Linked DNA regions of Oreochromis niloticus. The protein of the gene in region 1 binds, or shares a complex with, the protein of each later gene. Links are inferred from orthologs where the notes say so. Each region holds a gene or a part of one and is shown on either strand. Other genes may lie near its edges.

Evidence for each region.
Region 2: the proteins of bbs4 (region 1) and bbip1 are in contact, whole or in part, in a cryo-EM structure (PDB 6VBV), measured with the Bos taurus proteins. The link is inferred for Oreochromis niloticus from reciprocal best matches to the Homo sapiens genes BBS4 and BBIP1. Residues at the interface, in NP_001069424.1 of Bos taurus: Leu210, Leu213, Tyr236, Leu240, Ala241, Ser244, Gln247, Thr248, Ser269, Pro271, Asn274, Asn275, Met278, Phe281, Gly282, Lys284, Tyr298, Leu299, Pro301, Leu302, Asp303, Trp304, Lys305, Ile306, Tyr308, Asn309, Leu312, Leu315, Thr316, Gln318; in XP_003587939.1 of Bos taurus: Met7, Phe8, Arg9, Glu10, Val11, Leu12, Pro13, Lys14, Gln15, Gly16, Gln17, Leu18, Tyr19, Val20, Glu21, Asp22, Leu28, Lys30, Pro31.

What each region holds. Positions count from the first base shown.
Region 1 is NC_031965.2:11,057,807-11,069,932, reverse strand, and holds the start of bbs4 (BBSome complex member BBS4), read left to right. Parts: upstream 1-6,875; 5' UTR 6,876-6,930; coding exon of another isoform or gene 6,931-6,990; intron 6,991-9,298; coding exon of another isoform or gene 9,299-9,341; intron 9,342-11,095; 5' UTR 11,096-11,622; coding exon 11,623-11,793; intron 11,794-12,126. Other genes in the region: scamp2l (secretory carrier membrane protein 2, like), read left to right, coding at 52-138, 935-1,064, 1,153-1,281, 1,706-1,865, 2,060-2,161, 2,646-2,766, 3,376-3,531.
Region 2 is NC_031971.2:30,057,609-30,069,020, reverse strand, and holds bbip1 (BBSome-interacting protein 1), read right to left. Parts: upstream 4,808-11,412; 5' UTR 4,713-4,807; intron 4,147-4,712; 5' UTR 4,128-4,146; coding exon 4,082-4,127; intron 3,513-4,081; coding exon 3,355-3,512; 3' UTR 3,091-3,354; downstream 1-3,090. Other genes in the region: pdcd4b (programmed cell death protein 4b), read left to right, coding at 906-1,020, 1,514-1,621, 1,837-1,947, 2,040-2,179, 2,274-2,334.

The DNA.
Region 1 (12,126 bases):
GTTTTATGAAAATATATTTGAAAAGAGATATTGCTTCAACCTTTTTTACAGGGACACCACTCTGGGACGACAATCCCTATCTCTGCTGCACCCTCTCAACCAGCTGTACTACAGACATCTGTGGAGCAGAACCCAAAAGTGAGTGAGACGAATGTATTTCAGCGTGTTTAAATAATGAGATCAGACAAGATTAACCGATTTCAGTTAAGTTTTCAAGAAATGGAAGTCACTACCATGCAAAGAAGAATGAGTATATTTATTTTTCTTTACTTGGTCGAATGTAGCTCGAGTGGTAGAGTGGGTCACCTACTAATCGGAAGGTCAATGGGCCAATCCCTGACTCCACATTTGCATTCCTTTGAAGAGATACTGATCCTTGAGTAGCCCCTGATGCATCCACTGGATCGTTAGTGTGTGTGTGTGTGTGTGTGTGTGTGTGTGTGTGTGTGAGAGAATGTTAATAAGCACTTTATCATGAATAATGTATAAATGTGTGCGACTGGATGAATGAGAGGTGTAGTAGAAAGAATTTTGAGTGCTCAACTGAGTAGAAAGTCTGTATCCAAGTCCCGGACCAGTCCATACATAAACAATGCTAAGAAATGCTTCTCTACCACCCACACACTTGCACTCTGATCGGTGCATCACAGGTAATTTATTAAAGGTTCAATGTCTTGCTCAAGGACACTTTGGTATGCAGATTTGATTGGTGGAGGATCTAGCCAACGATCTGCTGGTTGGTAGACAACCTGGTGTACATCCTGAGCCACAGGCGCTCCAAAAGTCATCACATTTTACTGCAGGGACCATCTAGCTTATCACTGCAAGAAAGCAGCACCTTGGATGGTTATATTAGTGCAGTACATGCATGAGGAAATTGTGTTCAACAATATTGAAGACCGTATTAAGATGCAGGTCTGCTATCACACATCAGGCTAAAGCAGCTGCTGCCCAGGCTAACCTGATCAAACAGCAGGAGGAGCTGGAGAGGAAAGCAGCAGAGCTGGAGCGGAAGGAACAGGAGCTAGAGAACAGGAGGGCAGGCAGCGCATCGAACCCCGGAGGTAAGTGGCTGCAGGTATTTGATGTAGTTGTGTTGAGTATGTGTTAAGTCTTAAATGATAATAAGGTTTTTAAATCTTTTCCTGTCAGCTAAAGAGAACAATTGGCCACCTCTTCCAAGGTTCTTCCCTGTAAAGCCCTGCTTTTATCAGAATTTTGAGGAGGAAATCCCAGAGGACTACCGCAGGATGTGCAAGAGAATGTACTACCTCTGGATGTGTATGTACCCCTGCCCTGATTGTAGTATTTTATATGCTAATCACTGACCTAAAAGGATGGTATAGTACATCAAATCTCAGCTTTTAAATTTAAAGATGTATCAAGACTTTCCACTGATCATACTTTTGATGAAGTTCATACTTTTTTCTTTACAAATGAATCATGATTTATAACTTTATCCATTACAAGATACTAGATTGTTTAAAGTCATAATTGCTGCACTAATATGTTAAGAAATACTTTATTTACCCCACATTTGGGAAAGTAATTTGTTACGAAGGAGATAATAATAACCATAATAAAGACACCATTCATGCCTATTAGTTTAAAAGTGCACAGAGGATGGTTCACCAGAACTTTTTATAAGCAGTGTTGTATTATAAGTGTATGTCTGCGTCACTGGTTTTCTTTTGCACCTCTCCAGTCCACAGTGCCACTCTCTTCCTCAACGTGCTGGCCTGCCTGGCTTGCTTCACCGTAGACAATAGCTATGGTGTTGACTTTGGTCTGGCTCTTCTTTGGTTCATTCTCTTCACCCCCGTGGCCTTCGTCTGTTGGTACAGGCCGGTCTACAAGGCCTTTAGGTATGCTGTGTCACTGGTATTGTTTACACTTATGAACTTTAATTCAAGTCTTCAAACTGTAAATGATCTCCAGACTCATTTTTATGACTTCATGCAATTGTGAAACTTAATATCTCTATTATGCAATATGTCAGCAAACCAGTGAGCACCTTCGCATTAATAATGTCCCCTTTTCCTTTTTTTCTCCTCTATAGGTCTGACAGCTCTTTCAGCTTCTTTTTCTTCTTTTTTGTCTTCTTCTTCCAAGTGGCAGTTTACATTATCCAGACTGTGGGGATTCCCCATTGGGGCAACAGGTCAGTGGGATTTATTTATTTATTTATTTTTTCCTACACTACCTGAAAGTGTGGTGGAAGTGCACCAAGATTCTGTTTTTCATCAGTATGAATGTGCATGCTGCTTTGGGATACATTCAGTGTGCATGGACCACCACATTTCTTCATTCACACATGTGTTTGTGTGTGAATTCTTCTCCTGTCTCTCCTCTATTGCATTTCTTTGACAGATTCCTGCTGCCCTAATAAATCTGGGTTGCTGCTTTGTAAGTGTGTGTAACTTTTATTTTGGGATTTCTTTTCTATCATATATAAAGCTCCTCAGGTTTCCATGTGTCATTTTTACAAACTTCATGCTTTACATTTGGTATCTGGTTGTTTGTGTATTTCTCTTTAATCCACAAAAAAAAAACTTTCAGTATAATATAATATACTGTATATAATAATTATAGAGAAAATGTGCAATTACACCTTTTTTCCTCTTGCATGTTTCTGGTTTTGACAGTGGATGGATAACATCAATCACCATGATCAGCAAGAAAAACCTGGCTGTGGCTGTGGTTATGATGGTAGTGGCTGGATTTTTCACTGTAAACTCTGTGCTGGCTATCATCCTGCTGAAAATGGTACGCAAAAGTAAAACCTCTGTTTACATATATTACTTTTAGAGGTAATCTCATTACTTTATTATGAACCTGTCAGGTTTAATATAATGTATCTTGATGAACTGAATAACCCTAAGCAAAGTATTTTAAACATGTTTTAGTTGTTGAGTTTTCTCATTTATATCTGGAAGCTACGTCAAAGACAAACTAAAAATCGCGGGGTGACAAAATGGCTTCAGAGGAAATATTCAAACCAAGTGTGTGTGCTGAATGCACTTACTCTACAGACTTTCCTCCATGTAGAAGTTCCTGGAGTGTCTTTTGGTTTATAAAGACGATAATTCATTAGAAAGTGGACATAATATTTCATCTTAATGCAAAAAGTGGGGGACAAACAAATACAACTCTTAAAACAATAATCTGTTCCTTGGCTCATAACTCTCCACTAGACATGTATTGTATTTTCAGATATCCTCCTCACTAACAGATGAATGAAACTGAACTCATGATCTCCTTTGTAGACATAAGAACCATGGCCTGAACCTTACAAGAACCAGCAGGTTAAACACGGTTTCATCATTTGATCGCCTGTCATTGTTTACAATTTTCTGTCTTTTCCTATCATCCCAGGTCCATTCTAAATACAGAAACACAGGTGCCAGCTTCACCAAGGCCCAGCAGGAGTTTTCACAAGGTGTCCTGACCAACCGAACTGTCCAAAATGCTGCAACCACCGCTGCTACCTCCGCTGCCCAGGGAGCCTTTGGCAGGAGCCAGGAAAATTAGTGATTTCTACAAGTTTTGTGTCTCTGGCTATTCTCTTTTCTGACCAGCATACCGGGCTAGCCACGTCCCAACATTATCCAGTTGGTGTAAAGGAATTTTTAGGGAAAAGGGCAAAAAGCAAGTAACTTATGAGTATATACCAAGTGGGGTGTCTCCATTCTCCATGTCCACCAAAAAACTAAATAATAAAAAAAAATGGTGTAATTTAGGTAGATGCGTAGCTAAAGACATAAAATCATCTTATAGGAATAGGACCCTACTTTCAGTTAAACTTTATTTGTATAGCATCTTTGATGAAGGACAGTGCAATTCAAAGAGCTTCACAGATGAACTGATAATGGGACGGCACATTAATTTAAAAAAAAAAAAGGTAAAAAGATTATAAAATGCAAAAATAAAATGGATGGAACTTGTAAAGACCTGCACAGATCTCATCAGCATATGTCATATTCATTTATGCTTTAGGGAAATGTCCAGTAGGAAATCTGAAGCTGGGGTTTAGATAGAGGGCAAGGTGAGGACCCCACACAAATAAAATTACAACATTTCATCACTGCATAGCTATTGAAAGCATTTAACAGAGTAGACTAAAGAGATACATGTGAGATTATCTGCAATACAAGAAACACTGATTTAAATCCAGTAATCCTTAAAGATCCCAGTAAAAAGTATCAGGATTTTTCCCTGCTAATGTAGGAATGACATACTGAGGCTTGAAATATAAACTCTTTGTCCAAGTTTGGATTCTCACTTGACATGAGAATGTTTTTTTCCATCTGTGAGCGATGGATCCACTAAATGTTTTTCGCATTACAGCAGCATGCAAAACCTTGCAGGATAACTGTCCTGACTATAAGTGCATTAATACCAATAATACACTTTATGCACAGTTGCCTTCCTCTCAGATGTCCTGTAAAAGTATAAATGATAATAAATGCATACTGTTACATTACTGTGCAGTTTGAACTTTGCTCTCCAAATTTGATGTTTTGATGTGTATATGACAATAGGATGAGCTGCTGATTAATGAAGGTGATGGGATAAAGAGGTCATTTGTACTGTTTTAATCTGTTTACTGATTTTTTTTTTTTTTAATGAAGTGAGGCTTAAAGCTGTTCTTGAAGCAAATGAAGATGTTACATTTTAATTCATGTTAAGAAAACTTGGCATAATACAGAGACTTGCAGTGATTAAAATAAAAGGGGGGGTACGGGTTTATTCATGTAAAGTTATTGAAAGTATAGAATTTGAATGTATTTACATGAAAAGTGCATTAATGAGTAGAAAGAACAATATTTTTGACTTTGTGCCCATGTTAGTTTTACTACATGTTAACTTAATTTCCTGTTTTTTCTAGCTGCACCTACTTGGAATTAGGTTTTAGTGTTTTCATCCCTTTCTCTGTGTGTGTGTGACTGTGTGTGTGTGTGTGTGTGTGTGTGTAAAGTATATAAATACTGTATACTCCTGATCTGATGTTTGTACCTCAGTGCCTTTAAACAGTAACATACAAATCTTTGTGTGAGGATTCAAGTTCAAGGCTGTTAATTCTCTTTTTTTTATCTGTAGCCTGTGGAACAACTGGTGAAGTTTTCTTGTGATCAGAATGTGTTAAGATTATGTAAATATCGGTGACTTATTTAAACATATTTACTGCTGGGGTATGCATTGGAAATCTTAACATTCAATAAACTGTACTGTCTATAAAATTCTGAATTGAAGTCTTGGAAGTGGTCTTGTTAGAAGCGTATTATTATCTATCAAAAGTGGTCCAAGGAAGGAACAGTGGTGAACCAGCGACAGGGTTATGGGCTGTCCTGTGTGGTCCGATCCAACAGGCGAGCTACTATAGCTCAAATTGCCCAAAATATTTAAACGTGGTTCTCATAGAAAGGTGTGAGAATGTCAGTGTCCATGCTGACCCCCTTCCTCTGCTGAACTTCAGCCCAACTTACAGGATTTAAAGAGTCTGTTACTAACATCAACTGATCTTTTATTACAGCACATCTTCATGGGTCTAGTGGGATCCATGCCTCGACAGAAAAAGGGGTGACCAACATAATAATAGGTAGCTGGTCATAACAGCATGCCTAATCAGTGTACATTCTGCCTAATAGACAATGTCATTCTGGCTCATTCACACAAGTTTTAACACATCGCCACAATCTTCCCAGGAGTGGATGTCAGCAAATTTATTTTATTGCAGTGTTTACACACAAGAACTACATTTCAACGTTAAAGTTTATTACAGTACATTTATTAAACAAATATGACTTGCTTTAAGGGTTGCCAGGAGGAATTCTTGGTCTTGAAGAAGAACATGGCAGCACAGCTCTTAGGAGAGATCAGCACAAAACACCTTATACTAAGGAAGGGTGATGATTTGGCCTTGTTTTGCAGCTATGGGATCTGGGCACCTTGCAGTCACTAAGTTAGCCATGAACTCCTCTGTATACCAAAAGAGTCTATAAAAGTGATGATACACAACAGGACACAGATCCCAAGCACAGCATCAATTCTATGAAAAGAAAAGATTGCAATGGCCCGGTCAAAGTCCAGACCTCAACCTGACTGAAATGCTGTGCATAAACACATATCTGCAAACCTCAATGAGCTAAAGAAATGCTGTAAAGAAGAGTGGGCCAAAATTCCTCTGCAATGATTTGAAAGACTGATAAAGTCATACAGAAAATTATTAGTTTAAGTTCTTGCTGCTAAGGGTGATTTTACAAGCTACTGAATCATGTGGTGTACTTATTTATTAAGACTACATAGAATCCTATAGAGTGAAAAAGGTGAAAGATTGCAAATTCGAAACATGAAAAAGCCACAATTCTGGTGTTTGTGTGCCCTGTTTGCATTACTAGATGTATTTTGTTTATAAGCAAAGGAAAAATCTAAAACACACAGAAATATATGGTCGGATTCTGTATACTACACTGACCGTCTTTACTGAGAGACACACATAACCATGGACCTATGATCTCTTGTCACATCCACTGGCAGACCCAACATCTATATATGACCACGTGACTGTTAGAGTTTGCCGACAGTGACGCAGACTGAGAGTAAAGTCAGTCTTAATGGACATCTACCCTGTTAAAGGTGTTGGGAGAAAAATAAAATAAAATAAATAAATAACCTGAACTATAGCTGTGTTTTTGTTTGCGAATGAAACCGAAAATCAGCATTTCATTTTTTTTCTTGAATGATTAATTTTGTGTAGCTAAGCTAAAGTCAATAAGTAGAGGAAGGGGTTGGCTAATGCATTTAATGTGACGTGGCTTTATCAGTAAAAATGGTTCTTAAACCCTTTTTTTGTAAATAAAGTTTTTTTCTTTAATCGGTCCCAGAGCACAAATCCAACCAGCTACGTGTCTGCGCGCCATTGACGTATCCATGGCAACAGCTTCTAGTGTTGATCATCCCAAGATGGCGGACGCGGAAACAACCGCAACGGTGAGTGCGATGCGAGCTGCTCCTCCTTTTCTTGAATAAACACAAACTTGACTCGAAATACAATGAAAGTGTGACACTTCGCGAGAAAGCCCGACTCCAGGTTTTGCCACACGCTTTCTATAACGCTGACTTGAACGTTAGTTAGCTAGGTGGCTAGCCTATTCTAAGTCGGCGCTAAGTTGATTAAGCTGCAGCTAAAGGCAACTTGCGAGACTAATCTCACTCACTCAAGGGCAAATTTAAACCTTAACACTGACAGCTGTAGCTGTGGCAGGGTTGCTGTGGACTGTTTGGGAAGCTTTAGCCCACCCTTAATATACGATAACGTAGAAAACGTTATCAAGCAGCTTTTCATTAACCGGCTTACCACCAATCGCAGTTCTATTATCGCTGTGGCACAATAGCTTTCAGCGTGTAATGAAATGTAGAGAATATCAATAAACTGCTAAGCATCAGCAACCACATCCAAAACAATCCACAAGTGAGGTCAAATATGGGAAGAAAAATATGTGATGCGAGAAGAACTGCGCATGCGTGCATCTACCTGTACATTTCGAAGATAGCAAATGTTACTGTTGTTGCAGTCACTGAACAGAGCATACACAGGAGCACGTTACATTGCAAAAGTTTACCGCTACATCTCAAAAATTTGAATTAAATGTATTCATTTAATATATCTGTCCATTCATCCTTTCATTTAATGGTTATTCGGGATGTGGTGGCAGCAGTCTGGCAGAGACCCCCAAACAGCCCTCTCCCAAGTCACCTCCTCCAGCTGTTCTGGAGGAACACTGAAAAGAGAGAGCAGTCGAGAGACATAATCTCTCCAGTATGTTTTGGTTATGCCTAGAAATTCTGTCCATAGAAGTTATAAACTGAATTGGTGACAAATAGGCAGCTCTTTGTCACCAAGTCTATCCAACCCTACACATTATATATACATTTTTTTATGGTGTATGGAGGGAGGAAGATGACATGTGAGCTTGTGCAGAGCAGTTCAATTCATTCTTTATCTAGCAAAGGCATATACAATTAGAATCAGCTGTAGTCCTGGAGTAGGACATGCAGTACACCATAGACTGGCAGTAGATCTGCATGCTTCTACTCTTTGATTGGGAAATAGTTTTTTTTCCTCTCTCTGTTCATTAGGTCAACACACATGTCATTCAGCTTGTTGGCCCACATTTCCACACAGCCTTTTATCAGTTTTTGAGTGGACAGGATTTTCTGTATTTTGGTGAGGGCTGCCCAAGGATTATTTTACTGTGTACCACACAGTCATGTGAAAAGTCATGTGTTTTTGCAGGACTCTGTGCAGTGCTCTGAGAAACCAAGTACACCCCATGATTCAATAGCCTGTAGAGGTACCATGTAAAAGCAATAACTTGTAATAATTATTAGTAATACTTGTTTGCATGACTTTATCTTCACAAAGTTGCTTCACTTCATTAAGGTTTGTGAGCATTTGTTTATGCACAGTTCTCTTAAGGTCCTGGCAGAGCATTTCAGTCAGGTTTTGGTGTGGACTTTAACTGGACAATTGCAACACCTTGATTGTTTTCTTTTTCAGCCATTCTCTTGCACTTTAGTATGCAGGAGAGTTCGTGATCGACTCAATAACATGGTGCTCAGGCCCTGTGGCTACAAAACACACCCATGGTATTGGTATGAGGTGTTTGTGCTGATATGCTGTGTTGATCTTTACCATACACAGCGCTGTGCATCATGACCAAAGATCTGTACTTTGATCTCATCTGTCCAGTGGACATTTTTCAGAACTTTTGGAGTTTGGTTCAAACCTAAGCTGTGATGCCAGGCTTTCTCCTGGCAATCCTACCAGAAAAGCCATAATTGTTTTTTCTAATTGTGCTGTCATGAACTTTAAATTGTAACATGCAAACTGAGGCCTTTAGAGTCTGAGATGTAGTGCTTGGATTTTTTTTCTGCATTTTCTCTGAGCAGTAAGCATCTGACCTTGGGGTGATTTTGAAGGGACGCCCACTTCTGGGAAGGTTGTTGCATTGTGTTAAAACACACCTGTTTGCTCCAAACCAGCAAACTAAAAGAAAACATCATCTTTGATAGAGGTGCTCACACTTGCCGATGATCAGTTAATTAAGTGCATCTGATTGGCTGGCTGCTACTGACCTTCTTAATTCATATAGAAGAAGTAAGGATCGATGTAGCTTTTCACAGGTCTGCATAGAGTCCTGAGAGTCCTGAGGAAGCTTTTCTTTTTCACTTGACTTTCAGACTCCTGTTTGCTGTTATTTATTTTTCTGCTTGTGTTGTTTGTCACATATTTCAGCTCCCTGTTGCTACTGAACCCAAGAAACGTCGGGCGCCTAAAGGTACAGTGAAAGTACTGCAGGTCATGTTCTGAAATTAATTGAATTATTTTCATGTCGTTGTGTGACATTCATTTTTTTAAAATTCATTTCTAAAAGTTGGTTAAGTGTTGATAACTGAAACTAAAGGTTTTGGAAGTGAACGGCCTGCAGAGGTCACCCTCACCCTTCTGTTTGTTTCCGCTGTAAGGAACAGGCTGTGGCTACATTATGCTGCTGAGCCATTTTCCAGATATTTCTCTGTGTAGAAAATGTCTGGTGATCATTAGAGGATGTTTTGTCATCATTATTGAAGCCTAATGTGCCATTAAATAGTTTATACTTCTGCCCACAGATATTTTGTCTTTTTTTCTTTTATAGTGCTTTGTAATAATAATAATAATCAGAGCTACTGAGAATTGCATCTCTGTGGAAGCAGTTGAATACATGCTATGATGTGGTAATGATAATTTTTATTTAGCATGCAAACCCTTTCCTGGGTTGTACTTAATATGATTCGAAGACACACCCCTGTTCTAACTAAGTTAAAAAAAACAGAAAGTAAAGATTGGATTTTAGGAGACGAATACACATACACCAATGGGAGCAGACTTGAAAACAACCTGAACGCAGAGGAACTTTAAAATTGAGATGCAATGTTTTAAAGCCGCTGCTGAGTTAAAAATAAAGTGGCAGCTGGGTGCATGAACTTCACAGATTCATCTACAGGGAATTGTGACTTCATTATGCCTCATACAGACTGTATACGCAAAAATAGTTCTATAAAAAGTTCTCCAAATGCAAAGTGTGTTAAAGTATATATCAGCCGATTTTTGGCACTTCATCACTGAAACTTGGGATCACGACTGGAATAAAACAGTCACATGCAAGGACTGATCCCTTTTGCAATGTAGACATTTAAAGATTTGACATAATCAAGCAACGAGACATAAACCTTAATTGTGTCCATAAATCACAGTCATTCTGCAGTTACCATCGTGAAATGTAATTATGGTTATTTAAGGCATACACAAATTTACCTTTGCTATGCAGAGTAGTATGCAGAGTATATTATGTTAGATTTTGAGGACGGCAGTTTGTGCATTCTTAGTGTTAATACCTGACAGGTGTTGTGCAATGGAAAGATCTAAAGTAAATTTTAAAAAAAATAGTACAGTATGTTAGATTTTAATAAAATCCAGTGTGAATTTCTTGACTCTAATGTAGCAGTCTGCCTTATTTTTTTCAGGATACTGACAGTCATTTCTGGCACATTCCTGATAAAGGAAAAAAAAAAGTGTCAGCATCTTGATGTGAGACTAAATGACTTGACAAGATGAAGGCTTTTTTTGGAGGGTTTTTTTGTGTGTGTGGTTGAACTTCCAAAAATAATATTCATCATATTTTTCATTACGTTCTCCCCATGTGTCTTTTGATCTCAGCATGCCTCTCCTCTGCTCTTATCCCCTTTTAACAGATGGTTGAAACACATTGAGGGCAAAGCTGCCTTAGCTTCATCCAGATCAAATATAACAATGAGAAAACTCTCTCTTTGCAATGAAGTTTTTCACATTACTATATTTAGGAGACCTCGTGCTGGGCTGTTCTTCTGTGCTTCTTTCTATCCTTCTCTCATACAGTAGTTGTAGGAATACACGTTACCCATGTATCCCATCACTCCTCTCCAAATTCTGCCTTGCTTTATGTATGTGGACCATAGAGCACCGCAGGACCACAGCTGAAACCCAGAGACAAGAATATTATTGCTGTCTCAGCAGGAAGAAAGCGGATTAGGGTCCCTACAAATAGGGCCATTCCCAGTCTTGACGTGGCAAACGTGTGGAGCCCGTGCCGTTTCACAGTCGGCGATGGAGTGGATTTCCGTGAAGTATCTGGAATGGGCTCAAGTTCTAGCAGCAGATCGGCAAAGCTCTTCTTGAGGCGATGAAAGATAAAAACAGAGGGGAGCTTTGGTGTAATTCACACTGTATATTTTTTTTTTTAACACTCAGAGTTCGTTAACGATACTCACCCCCCCACCAGTGTCAATGGTAAAGCCTAGCACTGTATTTCACAATGCCTTCAATCCTATTTTTAGCCTCAGAGGAAGGTAGTAGGTGCAAGATAACGGGATTACCAGAATCAGACTCGCTTGAATTGGAATTATGTGTGTTTCCTTGTAAAATGAAATGTTGTACTCCACTGGGAAGAGGACTTGGAGGCGTTGTGGTTCGGTTCTCGAGGTTACCTAACCCTTTCTAAAGCTGGCTTTACATTGTTCTGCTCATTCCTTCAGCCTCCCTCTATGACTCTGTCTCTATACCCTCGCTCTTCTGTCACAAGCACCTGGCTTGCGAGAGACATTGTTGCCCTGGCAACAGGGAGAATATCTCAACCTGTCGAGACATTAAATGAGAGACACGGGGGAGAGGAGGGGAAAAAAAGCACAGTTTGTAACGCAAAACTTGCTTACAAGGTGACATTTACAGAGTGGCTGGTGAATTGATTACAGTTTAGCCTGGGGTTTCTGGTTGAAGTGTTAACATCTATGTTAACTGTCACATCAAAGACTTGCTAGCAACTGCATGGGGAGGCTGCTTTCAGGATTATTTATTCAGCTGTCAAATTAGAAAAGATGGCATACATTAAAAATAGTTCTAATAGACATTACTCTTAATAGGCTGAGCCATCTGTTCATAAGAAAAAGAAAAAAAAACTGCTAACGAGCTAAGATTTGCGGCATGCCTACTCGGTGACTTGACTTAAATTTAGCCTGTGGATTTAGGTTGCAGTGTTACATCTGTGTTAA
Region 2 (11,412 bases), on another chromosome or scaffold:
AAAAGTTCATGGAGTCAAAAAGGAATAAAATTTTCTTTTGTGTTTATCACAGAAATTAAAGATGTCCTCATATAGTCAAATCCTTTAGCAATAAAATGATTTCAATCCCAGAATACGCTGCTTTTATTATATTGCTTTAATGGTTAGTTACATGTTTCTCTGCACCATTTGCATTTTGAGAGATCAGGGTAATTATAGCTGTTGGAATAATGCAATAAGTCAATGTGATTCATGAGAAAAGAGGATTTAGTTCAGCCTTGTGATCAGCTGTTCTTGTTGTCCTCTAATTGGAGAGCAGCAGGTTAATACCAACAGTATTGTTTGAAATGTTTTTGCCAGTGATCTGAGGATGCTTTCAAAAACATTGCCATTTATATTGCTTATCTAGAAACTGAATAAAAATGTGCATTTATAAAAAAGGAAAACAAAAAAATATCTAATCAAAAATAAAATGTTGGGATCATAGTTTGCTTTTGAAAGTGCACCAGTTCTCACAGTGTACAAGGTGTTTGGGGCAGGTTGGTTGAATGAAGCCTGTCTCAGTGCCCGTGTTTGTATGTAATCCCAGACTGACTCCTGGTTTTTGTGATCAGGGCTCTGTTGGGATCAGAGCATCTGTTGCATGACTCCTTTCCCTTAAAAGTTTGTGCTGCATATTGCCTGTCCAAGTTATATCTAAGAATGCAAATGTCCAATTTTCCTTGCTAGCTTGCTGTTTGGATAAAAATAGATGGAGAGTAGAGCATTTAAAGTTCCCAGTGAGGAAGTGTGCATCATGTGCGTTGCCTCCAGCATGCTCTACTCAGGCACCACCTCTCTTAAACATTACAAGCAACTCTCCACAACAAGGAGAGAGAGTTTAGGTTAAAGTTTTATAAACCTTGTGTGTATCGCTTTCTTCTCAGGGCGGCTCTAGACCGAGCAGCCGTGCTGCTGAAGATGAGTATGGGTGGGCTTCGCATAGATAGCCAGTGGGGGACAGGTGGAGGCCAGCAACCAGTCATACAGCTCATCAAAGAGGTAGGTTATGTAAAGCAGAATCCAGTACACTCTGAAATGAAAGCAGTTTTTCTGAATTGTAATTGGTTCTTATTATAAAGCTTTAATGAAACTGAAGCAGCACTGTACAGTCTTCAGCATCTATTGGAAGGGGGAGTTTGCAGAACTTCTTCCTCAAACGCAAACCGTGCTATGTTGATGAACCGGTCCTGCCTGGTCTCATTGTTTTCAAAATAGCAGTCATGTGTTCGAGAAACGTTAAGAGGTCTAAAAGGAAAGAACTGTTGAAGTAAAAGTATCAAAAACAAAACCCTTTTTAGAACTTTTGAGCAGTTGTGTGTAAAATATTTCGGTTTTCATCACTTTCAAGTGAAATTGGATAATGCTTCAAAATAACAGATCATACTTTCATGATGGTAGTAGACCTGCTTTTTTTTTTTTCTTTGTGCAGCTCTTTTTTTGCAGTATGGATATTGCCATAACAAAAATTCTCATTTGTATTCTGTCATGCCAGATGAACCTTCTTCTGAAGGAGTACATCCTATCTGGTGACAGCAAGGAGGCTGAGCGATGCCTCAGGGATCTTGAGGTTCCCCATTTCCATCACGAGTTTGTCTATGAGGTAAATTCATGGCTACGCTTGATGTAGTAGCAGACACGTTAAATGCAGTCTAAATGTAAAATGTTATAAAACTACTAAAACATTTTATCTGTTTGGAGGGGATTTCTTCAGCTTTACACCCTTACTGTTGTATTGTGTGGTCTTCAGTCAAACTGCTCCTGGTACTCCGAGTATTAACACAAGATTGCAAATTTTTCTATCTCTGTGTATCACAGGCGATAGTGATGGTGTTGGAGTCTAATGGAGAGAAAACTTTCAAAATGGTTCTGCAGCTACTCAAGTCACTCTCTGTGTCCTCCATCATTACTGTGGACCAAATGAGAAGGGTATGGTGCCACCTGGTGTCTGAATTATGCACTACTCTTTGTTTTTTTGGGGGGGGTTTTTTTGTAGTCAAAGGGTTTTCTTTTTCTTGTAGGGCTATCAAAGAGTTTACATGGACATCGCTGAAATTAACATCGATGTCCCTCGTGCATACTTTATCCTGGAGCAGTTTGTTGACAAGAGCTTCGGCATGGGAATCATTGATGTAAAGTTGAGGGATCTCTGTCCCTGTCGGTAAGCTCGCTGGTTTTCACACACATCTGACACTTGCCTCCAGAGATTCGCTTCTGTTTTTCTTAATCATGTTGTTGCTCTGATCTTCTCTCAGGGGCCGTAAGAGGTATGTCAGCGAGGGAGACGGTGGTGTTGTCAAACTTGAAAGCTACTGAGAAGACTTTCTGTGTGCCAGATTACCCCAAAAAACATAAAGCTACTTTTTTACTTGCATATTTTTCAAAGTACCTGAAAATGGTTTTTCTCCTTTCTAATGGTCAAAAGAAGGTACATTTCCAAAACTGAGGTGAGGGTAATTTAAAAAAAAAAATGCACTTGTGATTGAAACTAAAGTAGATCACTCTCTCCAAGGTGTTTCAATATAAACATTTACATAAGCTAGCTCTTAAAGTGCCACACCTCTCCGTGTCAGTCATTCCATATTGTTTTGTACAGTATTTTCTTGGTTTCACTGCCACTCCTTTTGTGTTTTCTAGAAAGCAGTGTTTGTATCGACATGACTGGTTTGTGTCAAGAGCTTTATAAAAATGTATTAAAAATAAAATAAAATAAAAGGGAGTTTGTTGGTTCAATGCAATACTGGCTTCCTAACTAGCTGCTGTTTCTATGCTGTGCTAGGTTTTCAGTCTTTAATCACACACATCCGTGGCATGAGTTCTGTGCAAAAATGAATACCGATCAGGTAACTTCACAAAGTGGTGTGTTAAAAGTGTTTATTTTTATATTTGGGGAATAAGGAGTGTGAGAGACACACCCTGATGCTCCTTGATTGTTGATTAAATCACTATGAAATCATTTCATCTGTTTTTGTCTGTTTAACACACAGTACTAACTGCATACTGCAACTTAAATAAGCAGTTATCGGAAAGATATAATCATAATAATATAACACTTTATAGTACATAAGTAGCTCACTACCCCTACTGGCAAGTAACAGATGTAATCTTTGCTAATTACATGTCGTAGATCATTCAATAATAACTACAGAACAGCAAGACTTTCAAAAGGGAGAAAGAGGGATTAAACACACTGTTTTTAAAACTCTGTAAAGCCAGATTCCCTCCAAGTCCATACAAATACATTCCAGTGCTTGGAATCAGTGCGTTTGCTTGATCCATCTGAAGGATTTTTTCCAGTTTAGGCATTTCTGTTTTTTCCAATCCTCCACTGGGTATCTACTGTAGTTGCTCCTTCATTGCCAGTTCCTGTTGTTTAACAGCCTCTTGAGCCTCCATTTGCATTTTCTCCAGTTTCTCAAGGGTGACTGATTTGAGTGGGAGCAGCTTTGGCTTACACAAAACCATAGTAGGGACATCTTCCATGGAGAGCTGTCCTGTGAGGTGGGGGGGATTAAAACAATCCACAAATGATTAAATCTTAATTAATTTAAGCATAAATGAAAATATAATGTAAAAACCTAGCATGTGTGGTATTTCTCACAAAAGTCTGCAGCACATTAGCTGTGAGAAATGTTCTCTTTACACTTTAACCTTTATAGTACTGCAAACAGAGCTACTGTTCTATTTAAAGGCGTTTCAAATATACGATGCTACATCTATAAACTTCTTACATCTTTTCAACCACTCCGGATGAATTCAACAATATTTTTGATATCTGGTCAACTAGTTACCAATCTGGCATCTTACACATCTGATTGTGAGCCACTGAACAGCTTGTTCTTACTAACAAGCAGTACACCTTTAACTAAAGAAATGCAATATTGTCCCAAATGTTGACCCCAATTATATTTTTAAGCCAGAAAAGACTTTCAGGAGAGACCACAGAGCGTATCTTGATTAAATCTCCAAGGTATTGTGAAATTTCAGTTCAGTTCACGTGTTGTCTTGAGAGCCACAAACAAACTTTTGTAACTACTGCTGTCCACATAGCTTTGGTACAAACCTTGTTTAGGAAGAACTTCTCTGAATATTGATTTGACCTCTGGCATGGTGTCCTCTGAGTGCTCGCTGAAAGGTAAGCATATTTGGACATTTCACTTTCTCAACTCAACTTTTTGACACATATTCATAAATTCCGAGTAGTTTTAGCATCATTAAATGCTCTCCGCTCGAGAGGGAATGCAAAATTCAAGGAGCCTGTTAGTTTTATAGTGGGCATTACATAGTTTATAATAAACTGATCAGCGGTTAGCCACAGGTCAGTACACAGTCGCAATAGCAGCAGCTACTCTGTGATGCATTTATAAAATCTGGCTATTGCAATATGCTACATTTTCACCTTTATTCAGTGTTGTGCTTCAGGGTACTTTGCACCTAATGAACAACGTCGGCCACTTTTATATAGAAACTTTTGTTCCTTGGCTTCAAAGGCATAAAGGTCTGAAAATGTACAAAAACAACACAATGCGTATGCTAGCTACACAAGCTCAGCTCCAGCTAAACTAACGATACCTTTGCTTTTAGCGAACGCACTCTAATCCAAAGACACTATGTCTCAACAATGCACAACAGTAGAAACAAATCAATACTATTCACCCACACGGGCATATGTAAAATGGAAATCTTTTTCTCACCTTCAGCACCAGGTAAAGATTACAGTTGTCAAGCCAACGCGTCCGCAAGAATCACGTGATTTTCTTCTGTTGTCTATTTAATTTGAACAGTGTTTTACTGGCACCTACAGGCAGCTAGCAGAATAGCAAAACTCAATAACTTTAATAATGTTTGACCCTATGAAGCAGGCATTATAGGGTCATTGAGCGTCTCACGCTTCACTTTTTTTGTACTTTTATTTTTGGACAGAACATGTGTGACAGTGTAGCTGCAAGGAGCAGAGGTAGTTGAGTTTAAGCATATTGGAGACAAAGTTAGAGAGACAAGACTGCTGCCAGACAGGAGGAAAGAAAAGAAGACCAAAAGGGGAAGACCAGAAGATTTGTTGATGTAGTGAGGGAGGACTTAATTGGTGTGACAGAAGATGATGCTAGGCATGATGATCCACTAGTGAACCATAAAGAGACCAGCCAGAAGAAGGAAAATAATTATTTGCACTTATTGCACTGATATAGGTTGGTAATGTCTCTGTATATGTAGAGAGATGGCTTCTGGTTGGCTTGCAAATAACTGAAAGTGTGTGTTGCGTACTCACATTTTTAAACAAAAAATATTAGATCTGTCGGGGGAAATTACTGCAGATGAAAAGCATTATTTCACCTTCAGAGTAATTTATATATGTTTCAGTGGGATATAAAAAATGAGTACCTTAAAATACAATTTTGAATGAATACTTGACAGCATTATTAGTTTGTAGTATAACCACTCTCAAGTACGGATGTCATGGTTGCAACAAATATATAGTCTGTGTCCGTGCATAATCGCTTTCTTCTTATTTCCACTGATATAATCTAATATTGTTATAGGGGTTTTTTTTATTGCCACAATGATCATGAAGTGAAAATATGATCTAGAATGATCTACTCTCACTTAGGATCTATGCGAAACTAAAAATATTTCTAGAGCTTAACAAGTTGTTTGTTATATAAAACACAAAAACTCAACACAAAAAATGTTTGGGATCTTTTATACACTGCTCAAAAAATATGAGGGGAACACTAAAACAACACAATGTAACTCCAACTCAGTCACACTTCAATGAAATCAAACTGTCCACTTAGGAAGCAACACTGATTGACAATCAATTTCTCATGCTGCTGTGCAAATGGAATAGACAACAGGTTGAAATTATAGGCAATTAGCAAGACATCCCCAATAAAGGAGTGGTTCTGCAGGTGGTGACCACAGACCACTTCCCAGTAGCTATGCTTTCTGGCTGATGTTTTGGTCACTTTTGAATGCTGATGCTGATGGTGATTTCACTCTAGTGGTAGCATGAGATGGAGTCTACAACCCACACAAGTTGCTCAGGTAGTGCAGCTCATCCAGGATGGCACATCAATGTGAGCTGTGGCAAGAAGGTTTGCTGTGTCTGTCAGCGTAGTGTCCAGAGCATGGAGGCTCTACCAGGAGACAGGCTAGTACATCAGGAGACGAGGAGAAAGCCATAGGAGGGTAAAAACCCAGCAGCAGGACCTCTGCCTTTGTGCAAGGAGGAAAAGGAGGAGCACCCTGCAAAATAACCTCCAGCAGGCCACAAATGTGCATGTGTCTGCTCAAACGGTCAGAAACAGACTCTATGAGGGTGGTACGAGGGTCTGACATCCACAGGTGGGGGTTGTGCTTACAGCCCAACACTGTGCAGGACGTTTGGCATTTGCCAGAGAAAACCAAGATTGGCATCTTCACCACTGGCGCCCTGTGCTCTTCACAGATGAAAGCAGGTTCACACTGAGCACATGTGACAGACGTGACAGAGTTTGGAGATGCCGTGGAGAACGCTCTGCTGCCTGCAACATCCTCTAGGATGACCATTTTGGCAGTGAGTCAGTAATGGTGTGGGTTGGCATTTCTTTTGGGGGTGGCGCACAGCCCTTCATGTGCTCGCCAGAGGTAGCCTGACTGCCATTTGGTACCGAGATGAGATCCTCAGACCCCTTATGAGACTATATGCTGGGGCAGTTGGCCCTGGGTTCCTCCTAATGCAAGACCATGCTAGACCTCATGTGGCTGGAGTGTGTCAGCAGTTCCTGCAAGATGAAGGCATTTACGCTATCGACTGGCATGCCCATCCCCCAGACCTGAATCCAATTGAGCACATTTGGGACATGATGTCTCATTCCATCCACCAATACCACGTTGCACCACAGACTGTCCAGCAGTTGGCAAATGCTTTAGTCCAGGTCTGGGAGGAGATCCCTTAGGAGACCATCCCCCATCTAATCAGGCGCATGCCCAGGCATTGTAGGGAGGTCATACAGGCAGGTGGAGTCCACACACACTGAGGCTCATTTTGACTTGTCATAAGGACATTACATCAAAGTTGGATCAGCCTGTAGTGTGTTTTTCCTCTTTAATTTTTGGTGTGACTCCAAGTCCAGACCTCCATGGGTTGCTCAACTTGATTTCCATTGATAATTTTTGTGTGATAATGTTGTCAGCACATTCAACTTTGTAAAGAAAAAAAGTATTTAATAGAAATATTCATTCATTCAGATCTGGGATGTCTTATTTTTGTGTTCCCTTTATTGTTTTTATTTTTTATTTTTTGAGCAGTATATTTCCACTGTCATCTGTAAATTGTATTCACTGTAAATTGAATGTGTAAAAATAACACACTGTATATAAAACATAGACATGACCACTGGTTTTTGTACTCCCCATTATGAAAGCTAGCATAAGTATTTTGTCTGCTGCCATGTTATTTTGTGGAGCCAGAAGTTATCATATAGAATGAAAGGGTGGCATTAACAGTCCCATCCATAACTGTGTGGCCTCTGCCCCCTCGCATCACCAGTAAGTTATTGCAGTAACAATCACACTCATGTTAATTATTTGGTTAATAGTAGCTCCGTAGTGGATCTACAGCAATTGCATTAGAAATGGTTTTGTAGGGCATGGGCTTATGCAATTCACAGTGTTTGGAGTAACCCCCATATGTCTAAATGAGACTAAAAAAAGAGGCCATTTTTTTTTAGCTTGCGCAACAAGGTTTAAAAGCATGATCTCAGTCAAAGGTTGCAAAACAAACTGAAATGCGCTGATATATTCTGGACTCACAAGTATCCTACTGTTTGGTGAGTTCATTAATCCTTTTCTGCATCTAGAGAGAGTCTCTCCTATATTGTGCACTATGCCATAAATGCAGATATTTTTGCACCTTTATAGCTTTATGACTATATTTCTCTGTGATCGTACCATGCTTGTATTGTTGATTATGCAGATGGGTTCATGATGTGGTTTAAATTAGGTTGCTGATGCTTGAATCTGTCTTGTATTTGTAAAGGTGGCCCAGTGTATAGGTTACAATTATAGAACTGCCTCTTGTAGTACTGTTTTAAATGTACATTGAACTCTTTTATTTATTCGTTTGATTTTATTTTGCATCTGTTTTGCAAGTCTAAACATTTTGCTGTGTGTATTTTAACATGGGATTGAATAACTTTTGGACCCAGCCCCAAGTGGCCACAAACCCCAAGTGGCTGCAGGGTTTTTTTTTTTTACACTTATGAGGGGGCGTTTTCGGCTCCAGGAGAGGGCGTTTTCAGGAGCTGAAAACTCAGAAAACTTTCATAAGTGTAAAAAAAAAGAGACGTAACATAAATTTAAAACAAAAATCCGCTCAGTTTTTTTAAGAACAGTCATCTGTGTTTAGTTGTTTTGAGAATGTATTTGCACACTTTTACAATTAATAAAAGTCAGAGACTTGTATGAGTTGGTTTTCTTTTTTAATTTTCTTTTCAATACATTATTTTAATGCTCCGGTTTGTAATCAATCATTATTATTATCTCAGATTGATTTTCACAGATAAATGTTTGTAAAATAATGGACGTTTGATTGCATTTCAAAGTCTCGTGATAACATTGGTTAGGCGTGTGAATGACGCAGTTTGGTGACCGGGGGAGGGAGGGGAGCAGAGCAGCAGTGTAGGAAAAGAGGAGGAAGCAGCAAGGATGGCGGAGTCACACCTCTGAAGGTAAAGCAGTTATTTTATTACATTAACAGTGGACGTTTTTATCCCCACAGCACGGTAACGCATTGCTCTAGAGCTAACGTACTTATCAACCTCTCGTTAAGGCGTGTGTAACGCCGATGTGTCATTTTGCGGTGGCGAGTACGAACGCACTCTTTTGTTCAGCTTCGGAATGGCCGCTGTTTTTCACTGTTTTCTTTTTTCTCGGCTCATATTCACAACGGGAACGGCGCTTAGATTCAGCGTTACAGGTTGTCGGCTCTTCGGTGTCCTTGCGTGGCTGCTCGGGTCGGGATATCAGCTGCCTTCACGCCTTCACAGGATGTTCTCTTTGGGTATCTGCTACCCGTATGCACTCAGCTGGCTACAGCAGAGATTTCCCCCCCTTCGGTCGGGTCGGTCTGCGTCCGACAGCCGCTCGGCTCGGGCCTGCGTTACACACACACACACACACACACACACACACATACACATACACACACATCTCTGCTAATGATTAAGCTAAGCGCTGGGTGTGAGTATTAGGGCAAATCTCGACACTCTCTCTGCACGGTCTAGCAAACACACACCAATGGTCCTTTATTGCATTATGTGCTAATGACAGCTGTTTTGATTTTCCTTGTTTGGAAAAAAAAGTACCGTTAGCTTGTAAGCTAAGTTGCTCGCTAGCTGACGGTAGCAATTTAGCAGTCTGGCATAACTGACGTTTGCCGTGCCGTTGACGCTCAGCTTAGCTGTTTTTATTTCCTGCCTTGTTGTCAGTCGTCTTAGCAGGCTGATGTTTCTCACAGTTTAAGAAAAGACTTTGCGACCTGTATTGTGTATTTTAGTTTCATGAGTGGCTTAGCTAACATAAGACATTTTAGCCTACTCGAGTTGGTTTACGACAAATAGTTGTCTTGCTTGTGGTGTTAGGTTAACAGTCACAACGTAGCATTATTAACGTCAAGGTGTTACATTCACATTACTGATAATACCCTGTCATACCCATATTAGGTGTTCATATCATGGAAATTGGATTATATTGAAATGCGACTTGACTTCTCGACCTGGTAGCTACCGTTTGTGTCGGTAGTCTGTTTCCAGGGGTTTGCCATTTGCACACGTAGCCACCAACCTAGTGGGGTCATGTGGAGTTCTGTTTAGTGGCAACAGCGATAGCTGCCACCTCACTCCTGTTGTGCAATTTTGCGTCCATCTATCATACGGAGATTCTATATTGACAGGCCTCAACTTACTGTGAAGTACCAGCAAGCAAATGACTGAGTATTTCTTGAATCTGACTATGAAGCATTTCTTTGCTTCGGACGTGCTTTATTGCATTCTCTAATTAGCTGATATATCGGCACATGTATCATCTGATCCTAAAGGGATTATAATGGACAAACAAGGGAGAACAGTTCCACTCATGCCCAAATGTACTGACATTAGCAGATGGGCCCAAGATATCCTTAATGGATAACTTCATTAGTCCATGTGGGAAGTTCAAATAGCACTTTATGGTGGTGTTGTGGTTGTGTTGATGGACAAATGCATTAGCTTTTTCTGCAAAACCGTGCTTGAGTTCAGCCTCATATTTACATTGGCTAAACAAGTAGTTTCAGCTTACACACATTCACACATGAGCATATCAGTCAGTTGTGAAGGGTGATATAAAGGCTCATCCATAATTTACCATCCTGATCAGACAGGTTTGGCTGAGTAGTTGCATAATTTCACATAAAGTTATGACTGTCCTTTGTTGACTAATTAGGTTTTCCAGTCATATGTATCCAGTTAAAATTGTCTTTCTTTTGTGGATTTTGTAGGGTTTAGCTAAGTAGTTGAATGATTGCTTAGGTGGGGTTGTAGGCTTACTGCAATGTTAACACCCACTGGGCCATGTTTGCGTAGCAGGAGCAAGTTGGTTTGCGTTTATCCTTAGTACACTAGACTTTCTTGGTCTGACTAAGCACACCCAGTACCACAGCATTAACAGTATCCTAGTTCTGACAACTGACCAAACCTTTTCCGTATGTGTGTGCTGTCTTTAGGTTGAACAGTCCCCCAAAAATTATGTTGTCATTGTACATGTTTTATGGCTTTTTCTTAGACCTCAGTATGTGTAGCGCATGTTTAGACTGAGGTGTAAAATAATAACGATAATCTTGGTGTGTACTATAGCCTCGGGGTTTACAGATGAGCCAAGTAAGGTTTCACTATGAGGATTAAGCCTGGGATATAGAACCTTTTGGTTACACGTAACTCAGACCACATAACATATTAATTGCTGACCTGGTTATGATTTGTCTGTTTTCAGTGTCTGCTAACTGAATATGAATGCACTTTTTTCCTGTTTTTTAAGAACAAATGAACCCTCATCCAAGTCTTTTTAGAAAGAGATTGGCTGCTGTAATGTGTTTTATATTAACACAAAGGTACCATAGCGAGCCATGGGGTAGCAGATGCCAAAAAAGCTAGCTAGCTTATTGCTAACTGCTGACCGGGAAATTATGCCTCAGCAGGAAATCTACTCTGTAGCTACATCATAACCACAAACCCTTCTGAAACTCTACACCATAACCTGACGTGTAGCTTCCTAGAAATGTAACTACACTTTGTGTCGACGCAGCAATATCTCTTGTGCATTTCTGGCTACTTTTTCACTGCAGATTTTATATTTAGCATTGAGAGAATAACAATCATT